2 linked regions of the Lepisosteus oculatus genome follow. The protein of the gene in region 2 interacts with the protein of the main gene of each other region in a pairwise test. Links are inferred from orthologs where the notes say so. Each region holds a gene or a part of one and is shown on either strand. Other genes may lie near its edges.

Evidence for each region. The genes of interacting proteins can lie anywhere in the genome.
Region 1: the proteins of osgn1 (region 2) and bcar3 interact in binary tests that used the Homo sapiens proteins (3 or more experiments, as listed by UniProt). The link is inferred for Lepisosteus oculatus from reciprocal best matches to the Homo sapiens genes OSGIN1 and BCAR3.

What each region holds. Positions count from the first base shown.
Region 1 is NC_090704.1:27,726,512-27,734,319, reverse strand, and holds the start of bcar3 (breast cancer anti-estrogen resistance protein 3), read right to left. Parts: upstream 3,516-7,808; 5' UTR 3,499-3,515; intron 3,325-3,498; 5' UTR 3,267-3,324; intron 1-3,266. UniProt on the Homo sapiens protein: Acts as an adapter protein downstream of several growth factor receptors to promote cell proliferation, migration, and redistribution of actin fibers.
Region 2 is NC_090711.1:1,159,138-1,166,858, forward strand, and holds the start of osgn1 (oxidative stress induced growth inhibitor 1), read left to right. Parts: upstream 1-4,240; 5' UTR 4,241-4,415; coding exon 4,416-4,423; intron 4,424-6,338; coding exon 6,339-6,412; intron 6,413-7,060; coding exon 7,061-7,197; intron 7,198-7,693; coding exon 7,694-7,721. UniProt on the Homo sapiens protein: Monooxygenase catalytic activity. Involved in regulation of cytokinesis; promotes RHOA activity, probably acting locally at the midbody in late cytokinesis.

The sequences.
Region 1 (7,808 bases), on a different chromosome or scaffold from region 2:
TCACTTGGTGAGAGGGGCATATTTTTCCTTTTTGTGTTTTTATTGCCTGGTTTTCACCAGGCTTTACATTGCTGCTATGCATACACGTTATAGAAGGTTTTTAATATTCTAGTGATTTAAGCACTGTTAAACAGAAAACATATTTTAATAGTAAGCATGCAGATTAAAAAAAGTCTATTCAATTATGACATTTGTGATTCAGACATTATGCCATATGTGAGCCAGAAATGGCACTAAATAATGAAACTGAGTAGCTTTGGAAACTAGAGAAGAATTTTTCATTCTGTAATTACAGAAATTTCATGATTTTCTCCAAGGAAGGGAATCAAAGAAAGATATCTTGCAAATTTCCTCTCAAAATCACTATGATTTTGAATTAACTCGAATTCCCCTTGGCACTGAGCCTGTTGAATATAGCTTAAGCAGAACAAGTAGAGGCTCACTGTGTTATTAAAACTGCATGAGTTGAAAAATGTGTTTCTGTTTGTACATCCTAAAGAAACAGAGAACCCAAATGTCCCATCTAAATCAGGGCAAGATGCATTAAAATGGTTTCTTCCAGAGTTACCTATGGCTGTAATTTATACTTAAAGTGTCCTATTGATTGCTTAATGGAAAATAGGATGTTTAATGGAATTCTAGCGTTAATGTTTTCAAGACAGTTTCAAACAACTTCATGCATTTAGGCTAATATGTTACTTAAAACAATCTTCTACTTCATTCAATCTTCTACAATGTTCCAAAAGATTTGAGTGCAGGATTCTAATGAGTTTTTGAGTAGTTATTGTTATCCTGGATAGTGATAGTTTATACTTTATAATTCTGAAAAGTTATACTAGAATTGAAATGTAAAATCAATGTTTGTTAAGACAATTTTGAATGTCTTTGAGGGTGTTGTGTCAATAAAACTTGTATCGCTTATTACATTTTACTTTTTTACTGTTTTCTTCTTGTATTCATTACAACATCCTGAATTCACATAACAAAGCAGCAACAGCTGCATGCATTGAACAGCTGTCCAAGCACTGTGCCTTTTTTTTCTAATTCAAAATTTGACAAATTTTCATCCCATTGTCGAACATCTCTGATAGCATGTCAGTATATATGATGTTTGCCTTTTGGATTTCCAGTCCCTTTGATGCAATTGCAGATGAACACTTCACTCAGGAGAAGGTCAAACCCTAATCTCACCCACTTCTTGTAACGAACAGTTCTTTCCGGACCCTATGCGGACGACACAGTCCGACGGAGTGGGGAAACACTAGGGAAACGTCATGCAGGAAAACGGGGCTGAAGACAAGGGGGCGTGTCCAAAGTGCGCTGGTGCACGGGGGAGGTATGGCCGAGGCGAACAATCCGAGAGTAATCCATAGAGTATCCAAAACACGAAGGTAAGTCCAAAACCAGAAGATCCATCAGAACACGGAATTAAAAACCACGAAGGCCGGGTCGGAACCGGCGGACAGGGGACAAGGAACAGGGGTTAAAACCTTAACGGGACCAGGCGCTTCCTGGTCCCGGACTCGCACGATATGGAAATCAGATGCAGAGCCCGGAAGAGCGTCAGCGCCTGGCTTTTAAGGTAGGCAGGGAATAGGGCGCAGGTGCATGGAATAAAGTCTAGAGTGATAGGGCTGGAGCACCCTTAAGGAGGGGGAACTAATATCGTGACACTTCTACCTGTTTATAAGCATCATGCTTTTTCTCTACTCACTCACTTTTCTCAACCCTTCCTACATCCCATCTTTACCCCTGAAGCAGCTCCCTGTCTTATTCCTCATTAAAGAAGGAAGAGGTTCCAACTGATAGGTTGTTGTTAACCTCAGCCAGGGGAGTAACCCCAACAGAAATCTAGATACCACTTATCCTCCTTAATTAGGGTTTGACCAAACAACTTAATTCAGATTTCCATAAGATTTGAGTGCAGGGTTCTAATGAGGATGCTTTCTTTGTTAAACAAGTAATAATCAAGCATGACTTTTTGAAATCACTTGTCATCTTTTAAAATTCCTTATCTTGTTCAGTTGCGCCATGACACTCTGAACAACTAGAAAATCACACAGCAGTTTGATTAGCTACTCTGATAAGAATCCCACAAAGCTTAAAACGTCACATAGTGCGAAATATCTTCATTTTCAGGTTTTCTCTAGAAAAGAGTACATCTATACTAAGTATATCCAAGACCACAGAGAATGAAAATGAAGTCTCCTTGGCTTTTGTGAAATACATCCTGTCTTGCTTTGAAGCATGCCACCAGGCTTGCAGCCCTCTCCATGTGTGAGTGATGAAAAAAACCACATTAAAGGCACATGGTGAAGTGCAGCCATGTGACTCGTTAATAGAGTAAGTGCTCAGGTCCCTGCCTCATACTAAAAAACTGTGCCCAAAACGTTAATTACTTCACCGCACACGCAGGAATTCTTGTGTTTATGGTTGCAGAAAGAAACTTGCAACCCTGCTATTTGTAATCCAAAAGCACGGGAATCCCTGGAAAAGTAGTGGCTCCTGCAAACTCTTATGCACCACACGGAGGGTGCATAGCACAACATAATTGAGGCGTTGGTCCTGTTTCGAGATCACAGATGTGGGCACTGCCAACATTGCCAATCACTGCAAGTGATACCACTGCTCGGCTTCTCAGATCGTGGATGCCACTGGGGCTCATAAGTAGCAATTGCAGGTACTGTAGGAGCAGGTGAAAGAGAAGGGTAAGCCTCAGCTTTCTCCAAGAGAAGATGCCTCTGCTGTAGTTAATAGGAAAATATTCTACTGTATTTTCATTGAGTATGTTTAAAGACCTCATGGAGCAGTTCTTTTTCATATCGTGATTGGAACAGTGGTAAACTGAATGTCACATTTACTAATTATGGTCCATGGCTTGCAGATTATACTTGAACCTCCCCTCTGCATCCTGGTGTTGCCTTAAGATGAAGCTCGCAAAGTGGTTGTGTGAAATAAATACACCCCAATTCTTTACAGCTAGTTTAAGACAAGTGCAGCAGGAATGTAATCAACCACACTGTCAGTTTATCATAAACAGTTTTGCTTTGTGTGTTAAATTGTTTATCTATAGGAAAGCACTGAAACCTTCATGAATAATCTTATATTGACTAGAAATCTGCTGGAATTTGCTTTTTTACTGCTGCTCCTATAAACTAAGGTATACAGCACAATTTAGGCAGCAGGTTGGTTCTGGATTAGAAATGGTCATGCAAACTCGCAAATTTGAAAAAGAGACATAGTATGATAGGATGAAGAAAACTTACCCTGTTTGTTGCGAAAGAAGTTTAGTGTTTGCCTCTTTCTTTCCCTTTCCAGCAAAGTCTGTATGAAACAAGAAACAATACAAAGAACTTCATAAGTGCACAGTGTTCAGTAAATTCCCCACGTTAGTCCATCGGACCCTCTGAATTTGTGTCGTGGAGACTGACTGGCTGTCAAGGGAAAGCCTCCCAGCAGCCGCAGTGGCTGTAGGATCCCAGTGGGCAGAAGACACACCTTGAGACGTGCTCTTCACCAATCAAGAAGGGGAAGGGCGGGGGGGGGGCAGCTCTGCCTCCTCCTCGCTCCGCTCTGTCAGGAGAAAAACACTCCACACACTCTGCTTCTTCAGCCCCCCTCCTCTTGGGGAGTGCTGCAACTTGCTCCCGGACTCCGCACATTCCTCTCATACTGCTGCCAACCTGCCGCTGCAGCAGCTGGGATGTGTTAAACGAGGCAGTCAATTTTTATAACCAAGGTCATGGGCTTTATCTCCAAGCAAACTCCAGACCTCGCCCTCCCCTTGAACTAAGCCGCTGTAAGACTCTTCCTTTCATTAACGCTGCAAGGATAACAAGGAAAAGAAAATTAGCGTTGGAAAAAAATGCTGTATCTACAGCCTCTAAGCCCAGTTCTGAGGAAATTAATTGGAATCAGGTCATTTAGAGGGGATTTCAGGGCTGCTGGCTGCCCCACCACGGAGTTTGAAAAATAGATTGTCTCTTCTGTTAACCCTTTGGCTGAGTGATTTTTCATTTTCTTAAATGTTTTTTTTCTGAGTAAATCTGACTGCTTTCTACATTGACCAATGAGCATGAATGTGCTGGAATTAATCAAGGTCCAATAGTTGGGTTACATCTGCTCTCCGTTGAAGTTGATCGCTTCTAGGAGTATTTTCCGTGTGTTTCCACTCCTATAGGAACTGTAGTGTTCATTCCCTGCACCAGGAAGAACATGGTCCTAGGAAAAGTGTGCATAGTCATTACTGTTGGTTCAAGTGGGGTGGCAGGAAGGTAAGTTGATTAACATTTAGATTACACATTATGTAAAGAAAACAATGGGCGGTTCAATTTTTTAAAAAATGTTGTTTTATAGCACACTCCCCAATAGCTCACTATGTTTCAATCATGAAACAGTGGAAAACGTAATCTTGGAATCTGAACTAGATTCTACCTTCACCTCTTCTGACCCAAAGTCCTCCTTCATACCAGAAGATGCGATTTTGCAACACTACAGACTCTTAGATAATTGAACTCTTTCCAAGGAAAATAGTCAAAGATAACCAGGTCTTATTTTTTAGCTGCTGTTAAGAGCTGTGGGTAAGAGATGATCTTGGATTATTCTTTCCTTTTGTTTCTTGACAGACTCCATTTCGCATGATTCTTCAAGCACTGTGGTCAGGCTTTCTCCAGAAGTTAATGTAAGAGCCACTTAAGAGACTTTTTTGCAAATCATCTGTCTTATTGTCTTCTGAGGGAAATGTTTTTTTAAAGCATAGAAAGCTACTTTGAAATGCTGTAAGTTATATATGATAATATGTGAAAAGAGGCAGTCCACACATAACATTGATAAATTGTACATTGAGCACGTATGGTGTATTATATTTAATCAAGTGAGGGGGGAAAAGACTGCACTTTGAAAAAAATATTTATCAATATATTAATGAGATGATTTATTTGTTTTAATTTTCACATTTACTCCTTTTTAGTGCAGACTTTAACCAGAAAGCCAGGACACTGCTAAATACCTGTTCAGCTCCAAACACATCCCCAGTGTGGAGTTATTCTCTTACCATACCTGGAACCCTGTTCGTTTCCAATTTCTATTTTTTCAACGCCTGGAGGAAAGAGCTCTCACACACACCTCTTTTCCCCATTAGAGAGATCAGTGACATCTCTTTTATTTTTTTAGTTTTATTTTTTTGTGCAGGAATAATGGAAGCCAACAAGTACTGAAAGATAACACAAAAATGCTTAAAGGGAATTAAACATCAATCATTTAATAGGTTAATGGTGAGGTTATACTTGGAACATTTGAGACAAAACAGTAAGCTGATTTATTTTGTGCTGTCTGACTACCATGCAGCTTACTAAAGGTATCTCATTTTGCATTTGGATAGCTTTAAAGAGAGCAGGGAAAGCATCTTCTTAATACATATCAAGCAAGAAACTGAAGTTTAATTAAATGCATGTTTTATGATGCTTAGCTTACTGTGTTTGGCCTTTCATCTCTCTGCCTTAGTGACTTGCCATGGGGACCAGCAGGGAGCTGGAGAGGAGGAGGTGAACCAACCCATAAATTGGGAATAAACCAGTTTATTCTAAAAAAAATACTTTTCATTTTCTCTTCACTGGGTGCAGTTGTTTTCTACCTACTGCCTAGAGTCATGTGTAGAGAAATAACTCTGGCACAAGTGCCGTGCTTTGTTAGTTTACAGTATACTACGGCAGTGCTATATGCCTGTACCAACAAAGTGTATTTACAAGGATAAAAGGTGAGTGGAAGGGCACATTAATTTGAAGTTTTTTCCTTTCATTAGCTTTTTTTTAATGGAGTTTGTAACAGAAAATCGGGAGGAAGAAAATCTTGCACTCTTAGGTTTGCCAATGGATATACGTCACACATCTCTTACTTCTCCTGCCACCCCACCTACACCCCTACAGTAACTCCCTGCCTTGGCCCACACACTTTCAGATAGGAATTAAGCTGCTTCAAAATTGAATAAGAAGAAAGAATTCTTATTCTTTCCTCTTATTCAATTAATAAGCCTACAGGGAGGCCTACAGGGAGGAGGTCAATCTCCTTACAACATGGTGTGATGACAACAACCTCACCCTCAACGTCAGCAAAACCAAGAAGCTGATTGTTGATTTCAGGAAACTGCAAACCGGACATGCCCCTATCCACATCAACGGGACTGAAATGGAAAGGGTCAGTAACTTTAAATTCCTTGGTGTCCATATCACCGAGGACCTCACATGGTCTCTCAACACCACCTGTCCGATCAAGAAAGCGCAACAGATGCACTACAGAAAGCACACTGACAGGCTGCATCACAGTGTGGTATGGCAACTGCAGTGCTGCTGACCGCAAAGCCCTACAGCGGGTGGTGAAAACTGCCCAGTCCATCACTGGGGTTACCCTCCCATCTATCCAGGACATTTATGACAGACGGTGCTTGAGGAAAGCTCTAAGCATAATCAAAGACCCCACACACCCCAGCTACAGACTTTATGATCTGCTACCATCTGGAAAACGGTACCTGAGCATTCGGGCCCGGACTACCAGACTCAGAGACAGTTTTTACCCCCGCACTATCAAACTGTTAAATTCCCAGCCTCTCTCACTCTCACCTCACCTCTCACCTATGATCTGAACCTCACAGTGCCTTCTTCCTTCCTTTCTTTCTTACCAAAAACCCAAACACACATTGAAAATCTTCCTCTACCATACATGTCAAAAGCTCACTCCCCATAATTTCTATCCCTTTATTTTATTCTGTTGATGCATATGAACTTGAACTTGAACTTGAACTTTATTGCCATATGTAACCGGTACTGGTACAATGGAATTCTTACTTACAGAAAGTCTCTCGTTTGTAAAACAAGTGTAAAAAACAAAACAAAGTGCAAAGAGTGCATCAAGACAATGTACAAACAAACAATAGACAATGTGCAAGTAAACATGCAGACAGTCTGAATGTAAGTAAACATGCAAACAGTTTGAATGTAAGTAAACATGCAGACATTTTTGCACATAACCTGTTACCTTTTTGTTGTTTTGCACATTGCCTGTTGTTTTTTGCACATTGCCTGTTGTTGGTTTTTTGCACATCGTCTGTTGTTGTTTTTTGCACACTGGCTGTTGTCTCTGTCTTTATTTTGCTACACAATTGTATTGTTGTTGTTGTTGTTGTTTTTTCTCTTTGTACTACTTATGTCCGAGAGCTACCTAAATAGCATTTCGTTATACCATAAACTATGTATATAAGTGTAATGACAATAAACTTGAAACTTGAAACTTGAAAACTTGAGAATGTAGTGGTTTGGAGATTCTTAATAGATAAGATACTGGCAAATTGGATGCATACTGTTCTTTTTTTACAAGATCAGCTTTTTTCTTTGGCAGAGAGTTTCTGATTTCCCGTTTGATCTTGGAAGTCAGTGTGAGACAGCTACTTGCAGGGATGAGTCAGTCCTTTGAAAGACAGCTGCCTGCTTTGCTTTCCAGTAGTGTGTGATTGCAATTATAAATATTTACTAGTCCATTCGGTAATTTGTAACAGCAGCTGACGACAAACCTGGTTCTAGACATAATGACGGAGAGCAGGCATGACGATTGTGTTAATGTGTGCAGGAGTGTCTATTTAAAGAAGCACAATAGGGCTTCTGAAATGTACAACAAGACCGCTATTGTCTCTAACATATTTTTGTTTACAGGAGTGGGTGATCAAGAGCGCCCACAGGGTTCTGGGGTGCATAAGGATCTTAAGGTTACAGATGCACAGTCTAAAAGGACCACTATCAGACCCTCTTCTTTAAGTGTAG
Region 2 (7,721 bases):
CCAGGGTTAGGTTTCGAAAAGAAGAGCTAAAACATGCATAAAGATTTTGAAAACCTATTAATCAAGTTAATATCACTGTGCTACAAAGACTTTGCAGTGCCCTCACTTGAAATCAGCCCAGTCCATTGGCAGCTCTGTCTTGCTGCTGCCTCTGTAGGGCTGTGCTCGTGTAGAGAGAATAATAACTGCTTTATGTGAGGCAAACTGTCCTAGATAGCATGTAGAGTTATTTTTAGCGGATGGGTGACCTTGCAGCCTGCTGGTTCTATCTTAGAGAGGATAATAAACTGGTAACAAGAGGAATGCTAAACAATGCACTCTTGTTGGTGCACATTGGCACTCACTTTGATGCACGATACCACCCTCGCTGGTGCACATTAGCATCCTGAAGTGCCACTGACTGTTGTGCCCCTCATGCCTTGGCACGTATCCACTGCACTGCTGTAATGAGCGGTGTGGGTCTATGTGTGCCCCTCTAGAAACCATACATTCTACTTAGTAAATTGCAAGGGCATACGTATTGCAGATTAACTACCGGATTCTGCAGCCTTCTAATTTTATTTCCATTAACTTTTAGAGTTTCAATGTGCCATACAGTAGCACACACGTTACACACATAACAAGTAAAAACACAGGTAGGATGGATTAAAACACTCCTCTTTAGGGAAGTGAAGCTGAGCTGCATCAGGAAAACTCCTGTCAGTTCCTGGCAGGCAGCTCTTACTGCTCTGGGCTCAACAGTGAGGGGTGGAGATACCCCAGCCAGTGCAGCAGTGTGTGAAAGTGTAGGAGCTTGGGGGATCTGCACGTAGCAGCTGGGATTTGAACTGCCATGAACCGATGGAGTTCACAGAGTAGCAGCTGATGGTGAGTGAGGAGAGAGAGAGAGATGCCCCACCCCCCACCCCCCCTGCTGGAAACCAGTGCATTCTTCGGGGATAGCAAACTGTAATGTTGCATTGCCACTGTTTAAGTCACTTTGATCTTAATGGAAACTGCTGTAACACACACGGGCTGTGCTGTCTTGCAGGATCATTCAGCGCATGCATGATCCCACTATGTTTTAACACTGTTCTGGAACTGCCCTTCGCCTCTACTGCTTCACAGCTTGAGTGCCCCAGTCAGCAGATCTCTAGGTCTGGAGGGGGTGGGTGTGACTCCTCAGGCTGGACTTGTTCCCAGGTGTGAAGACATTTAGGATTTCGTGCCAGACTGGAGGATTGTAGACGCAGAGAAACTCTGCCCTGACTGTGCAAATAAAAACTGACCTTGTGCCTGTCATTGTAACAGTCTGTAGAAAATAAAACTGATGCATCAATCAACAGCTGTGATCTTCAAAACCAGTGCCTGGCTATTCACTCTCAGTGCTGAAGCAGGTTGGTGCTCCTCCCCCTGGACACTAGTGAGATGCACCTTGATCCCTCTGCCCCCTGCCCCAGAGCCAACCAGCAAACACAACCACCTCGCAGATCATCTCCCCCTGTGCTGGTCAACACTAGTGTTGTGTAACACTTAATTGCCATTTTAGATAAACCTGTATAAATGTTTCTTTTCATTTCACCTTTGTGGAACAGGGTGCCCTGAGTGAGCCGATATTCCCCACACCCCCCAGAGCTGTGGGTAGTTTTCCTCTTTTTCAGGATCTAAAACATCAAAGCGTTGAGCTTCAAAATATTTCTCTTCCAGTTCTTTTTGTACGATTTCCTCTCAGCAGGCCTTTTGTTAGATATTTCAAAGCACTGAGGTGAATGTTTACTCTTAGCAATATCGTAACCTTAGCAATTTTTTCATTTAGCGCCCTGTTGCCCACAGTGCCTACTTGTAAGAACAACTGCTTCTCCTGCAGCTTTACTGCAGCGCATCCACTAGCTCCTGGTACTTACTGCCCAGAACAAAGCACCGTCCTGTCAGGACTACGGATCGGTAGTTACTTGCGTGACTGTTAGCACAATGCCGGCTTCAGAAGGATTGCATGTAGATTCAAATCCGGCCGGATGAACTCTATAAACATTGAGCCTCAAGCTGACTTCCTTCCTTTGTGTTCACGTCTTTGTTAAAGCATCTTGTTATCTTTCTCTTTGAACTCTGCATGGCTGGGCTCCTGACTAGGCAGCATGAGACTTGTAAGTGCGCAGCGAGGGCTGAGTCCCGAGGACTGTGGGGACAAACTCCACAACCAAAGTGACCAAACAGAAAAGCAAATCTGAGGGATAGAGACAGAATAATAGTAGTTATAGAGCACCAAACCTCGACTGGGTCACCCGAGTTCTGCTACAGGTCTTTACAGTAAATCTTCTCCACTGGACAAACGTGACCCTGAGTCTTGCATCTTGGAGTCCAGCTCTGTCCTTGTCTGCAGGAGATCAAACACAGGAGCATGAGAACCAGCCCTGTGGCCACCTGTCACCTTACAGCAATGCAGGGACATGCCTGCTCTGCTGGGCCGGCCTCTTCTTCTGAGAGGGGTCAGAGGGAGACAGTGGTTGTGTGGAGCACAAAGTCACTCGCCGGCCGAGGGGAAAGCAGCACACCTGTTCCCCAGAGTGCCTCGGGAGGGGCGTTAGAGCAGATACAGGCTCAGGGACACCATGTCATCAGCACCTGGACACGGCTTGATCTGCTGGTTCTGCTTGATCTCCACCGCAGCCATGTGGAACCTGCCCTGACACCCATTTGGTGATTTGTAGTTGTTGTAGTGAATGTATATGCTTTGGCCACACTGTAACTCACCAGTCAAGCCAAAGCAGTTTGCACAAAATCAATAGAAATGAAAAAGATTAAGGCCTTAGGCGAATAAGGGCCCATTTGAATATATTTCCGATTAGCAGTTGGGTGCAGCGCCTGACTACAGTAACTAGAAGGTTCTTATTTCTAAAGCCCTCGACACCTTGCCCAGGTGTCCTTGTGGTAGCCACACCCCCCTGGAGACAAGGCAACCAGACTATTCCGCAGTTGCCATGGTGAAGGGCTGTTACTAAGTGACAGGGCCTGGGTCCCCTGTGACTTCCAGCCATGAGGGAGGGGAGGGGGTGATTAGGCTTCAAGCAAGCAGAACCGTTTGCTGCCTGCGGATGGAATTACACATCTTTCTGTGTGCGGGACCTAGAATTATCTTCTAGGATAACTGCCCGAGTTCTCCAAACGGCTTGGTGTGTCGCGGTCTCCGGAACTGCCCGGGGGGACGTCACGGGCCGGCCCGGCTCTCGCAGCGCCCCTGCCCGCTGACCCAGCTGGGGGAACGGGGTGTCGCCGTGCGTAAGCAGCACTGCACCCCTGGACACGCGGCCGTGCGGAGAGAGCAGCCTGGGACAACGGCCGCCGGTGATGTAACAGCTGCCACGCCGCAGTTTCCTGTGGTATACCACAGTAATGTGTGTGCTGTCACAGTAAAATCAGGGTAAAAATAAAAATACTGAGCATATACCTGCACATTTCTTTAAAGGCTCCAGACGTGTGTTCAACACCACAGAGAAAATGCCAAAGCCGACGGAGGTGTAGTAAAAGGAACATGCGAACCCTCAGAAATCGTGTCGGGTGTACCCCAGCAGTCTCACAGAGGCAGTGGAAAAACCCCATCCTGGGAAATTGCTAATCAGACACCTGCCCCTTAACAGGGTGAGGAAACTGAACCAAGACATATTTTTTTATTGCATGCAAGATTATGAAAATAATGATCAGAACTAAAGCAGAGGACTGAATTTAGGGCGCAGTCAGGGAGCACAGTGTCTCTGGTCTCCACACTGGGGCACCGGTTTAGAAATTCTGGTCCAAAGCAACTTGACTTAGACCATTAACCTAGTCTTCAATGCCAGGCCATAGGAGCGCGGCTGCCTGCTAAATAAAACTGCCTGAAGGAAACTGTTCATCTGGAGAATGATTGTCACAGTTGGTTCTTACAGAGACTGGAGTCGGTAAGTTCTGCAACGGCTTTAATTTGCAATATTTTAAATTTTAAAAAATTTTTTGCATTCCCTAATTCTCCGTGATGAAATACTCTCATGTAACCCTGTAACAGTCAGTTAGTGACACCTCGTATATAAAAAAAAAGTCTGCCTAATGAATAAATTAAATACATTAACACGGCAAGCGCAGCTGCACCTTCTAGAAAAAGATACGGTATGTTATACAAGCTTGGGCCATTACGTCACCTTCACACGGACCAATGAGAAGGCGCGGCGTTCCGGGGCAAGGGGCTCTGATTGGCCAGGGGAGGGGAGGAATGACGTCAGGAGAAGACGGCCCCACCCCCTGTGACCTAGAGCCCGAGCCGGGTGCTGCGCGTGGGGAGGAGAGTGCAGGGCTTTGCAGACACGCCGCTGTCGCGGGTGGGTGTGGGAGTCGGCCCTCTGGCTTTTAACCTGTGAAAGCGCCGAGACGGAATTCCGACCGGATTCATCCCGTGTTCGAAGTTAATAATGATGCGGTGAGTAATACAGTGTAACTCAATCCGTTTATTTCCTTCGCTATTTACGCTTTTATTTTTTTCTATTTGCGTGCAACGTCCTTCCTCCTGGCTAGATTTTTTTGTGTCGTTCGCTGCCAAAAGACGGCGGCCGGAGTTGAGCGATGTTCCCCTGTGGTCGGCGAAGAGAGACGTGCGCTTTGCGCTGCCGCTTCTCCTCTCGTTCTGCCGCCGAGAAGCGATTAACTTTCACCTTTGTCGGCGGATCCAGTCCCGTTATCTGTCTCTGCCCGTCTGCCCGCCGGGCTGGCCAGTAAGAAGCCCCATGCCCGCGGTGAAATGGTAGACGTTTGTTCGAAATAAAACCGTGCTCGGAATCACATCCGCCTCCGTGAGCCCACTGAAGGTCTTCTGAATGTTACAGCTCGCGTGGAGAGGCGTGTTTGTGTGCAACGAGACCCCCGGCCGGGCCCGCGCGGCTCGGGAGTGGGGGGCGCTCTGCGCGGCGTGGGCCGGAGCCGGTCAGGAGCCGGCCGGGGGGGCCGCCGTCTTGCTGGCGACTCCGCCATCGTGCCAGTTCAGCACGCAGGTCTGGTGGGTCGGCAGGGCTGACGAGGCGCCGGCCTTTGTGTCTGCCTGCTGCTCCGGGAGAAGTGTCCACGGAGGAGCGGTCGCCCTCACTGACCCGTGCTGTTACGACACGCACCGACAGCCCCACGATGGCCGGCTCGGAGCTGCCCCCTTAATCTCCGAGTGTCGAGTTGTGTCTATCAGCCCTGTGACCCGGTCACGTCCTGTAGCCTGCCGTATGAAACGTGAGCGTCGAGGAGAAACTCCCCCGTGTTTGGGTTTTTTTTTTGCAGTAGTAAAAGGGCTTCAGGGGGAGGGAGCTGAAAGAGCTGTAGGCCGCTGTCACCTGTGCACGGTCTTCCCCTGCCTGGGCTTCAGACCCAGAGCAGCTGGTGTGTACATCTCTCCCGAGCCCGGCGAGTCTGCCCCGTCCAGGCCCACCTCAGAGCACCCCCTGGACCGCAGAGCTGCTCTGAAGAGAGATCTGGGTCATTGGTGTATCACTTTTTTTTTTGTGCTTTGGACTTTGAAAAGGCTTTTTGTTCTTGGCGGGCCTGGCAGAGGTCTCAGGTCTCACCCTGAGAACCGGGGGGCAGGTTCAGAGCTGTGGTTTGTTCTTACCCACTGGAGGAGTTTTATCTGCCCCTACTGCTCTGCAGCACTTCTCGGGAATGGAAGGATCGCATGCAGGATGGTGAGCAGGCTGTGGATGGGGCAGACGTGCTGCCCTGAGGAGCTGGGCTCTGGCTGTGCGTGTCGGAGAGGGAATCGGGATACAGGACGGCCGCCCCTCGGCTGTTCCCCAGATCCCTCTGTTGCCTCGAGCTGAGCCTTCAGCCTTCCCGACAGCCCAGCTCAATCTCGGCTCGCCGGGCGGCTCCGTGATGAACTCTGGAGGCGCGGCGCTGTTGTGCTTTCACTCTGAACTTTGTGCCGAGTCACAGTTACTCGGCATGTGTGGGCACGTGCAGGGAAGAGGGTGTGTGTGTGTCATGTAACCGAGAGGCTGGGAGGGACTCCTGCCCACAGACTGGGGGTCGCTGGGGATGCCCTCGGCCGCTGCCCCCTGCCTCACAGGCCCGCCCTCTTTCCCAGGTGACCCTGGGGGGCGTGGTGTGCGCAGTGCAGGAGAGGGGGTGTTGAACTCCAGATGATGTCATGGCTTGTCCCCCCCGCCTGGCCTGGTGCGTGGCAGAAGCCCTGGGCCTCGGTTCGACAGGCTCCAGCCCTGTGCCCGGTTCACGGTGCCGGCACTGGTGCGGGGTGCCCCCTGGGAAGGTGTCTCTCCTGCGCGCGAGTCTCGGAGCTCTGTGTCTGCGTCGGTGAGGGCCGTGTGCTGACCCACTGCGTCTCGGTTCTGTTCCAGACCCTCGGCAGAGACGGCGGCCCTCCTGGACGGCCACGTTGTCCCCTCTGAAGTGCTCCCTGTGGTCATCATCGGTAAGACGGGGCCAGTGCACCTTCCTAGCCTCACCTGTGCTACGCAGTCCAGCTCCCACCTGTCTCTCCCCTGAGACCTCGCCGCTCAGGTGTCCTTGCTTTGTGTAGTGGGATTCCTTTAGAATAGACCAGTTTTGGAAACTTCTGGACTGAAATGGGATAGAGTATCCTGGTATCTGTGGAGGCTCTATACATCAGTTTAAATTATGTGCCAATTGATCCCATGCATAAAATCTTTACAGCAATTAAAAGCTTTCTTTGTGAAGTAGATCAACTTGAGGTTTTGAGCTGTTTTGCGCTGGCATTGTGGCTGCTGTGTTCTGGGCTTCTTTCACACTGCCTCTCTTTTGCTTTTGTTTATTGCTGGAGGCAGGTTTACATTCCACTGGCGCAGAACCAAAGAATTTGTTTAGCCGAGATGCGATAAGTATCTTGTTGAGAGAAATTCTTCCTGGGGAAGGAGCTGGTACACAGCTTCAGTTGTGCACAAAGCTGATTAGCTATGCAGATTTGGCAAAACACTTCATTCGGATTCTGTGCCACGGCCCTGTCTCGGGGAAGAAGACTGTCCCAGTTCTGCTGGGCTGAGAGACTGTCCCACGTACGCGGCCTTAACTCCCCTGTGTCTCTCCTACATGTGTGTTACAGGGAACGGCCCATCGGGGATCTGTCTGTCATACCTGCTGTCGGGGTACACTCCATATTTGGCTCCTGGGGGGATGCACCCCAACTCCTTCTTGCTGAGGAAGCTGGAGGAGCGGCCTGAGCTGTCGTTGCTGGACCAGGTGAGGACGGGGCGTCGCCGATCTCTCTCTCGCACCCCCTGCCCCCCGGATCTGCCCTGGAGGGGCAGTGTTTCTACCCCCGCCTCACCAGGGTTTATTCCCATGCGTCACTTCAAAATGTCACTTGGATCTTTCAGAGCCTTTACACACCTTGGCCCCTCTCATTGCTCCCTGTGAGCCCAGCAGGGCTCTGCCCCGGGGCTGAGCACCTTCTGATGGGGGTACGAGAGTCTCGGGGTGCTCGCTTGGAGCCGCCTCGCTCCCTGCTGCACTGAGACAGGGGGACTCTTTTCCGCACTCGAACTTATGTGTTTGATTAACGTCTGCCTTTTCTCCTCTATCCACGGCCTTTTTTTTCATTGCCATCGTCTTGAGTCTTCTTTATTTCCCTTCCAGTGTTATTCCTGTGTTATTTTTCTCTTCCTCTTGTGCGTTGTTGTTGTCGCCCTGCGAAGCGCCCCCTGACCGGAGCCCCGCTCCCCCTCTCTCCCTGCAGGACCTGGGGTACCTGTGCGAGGGGCTGG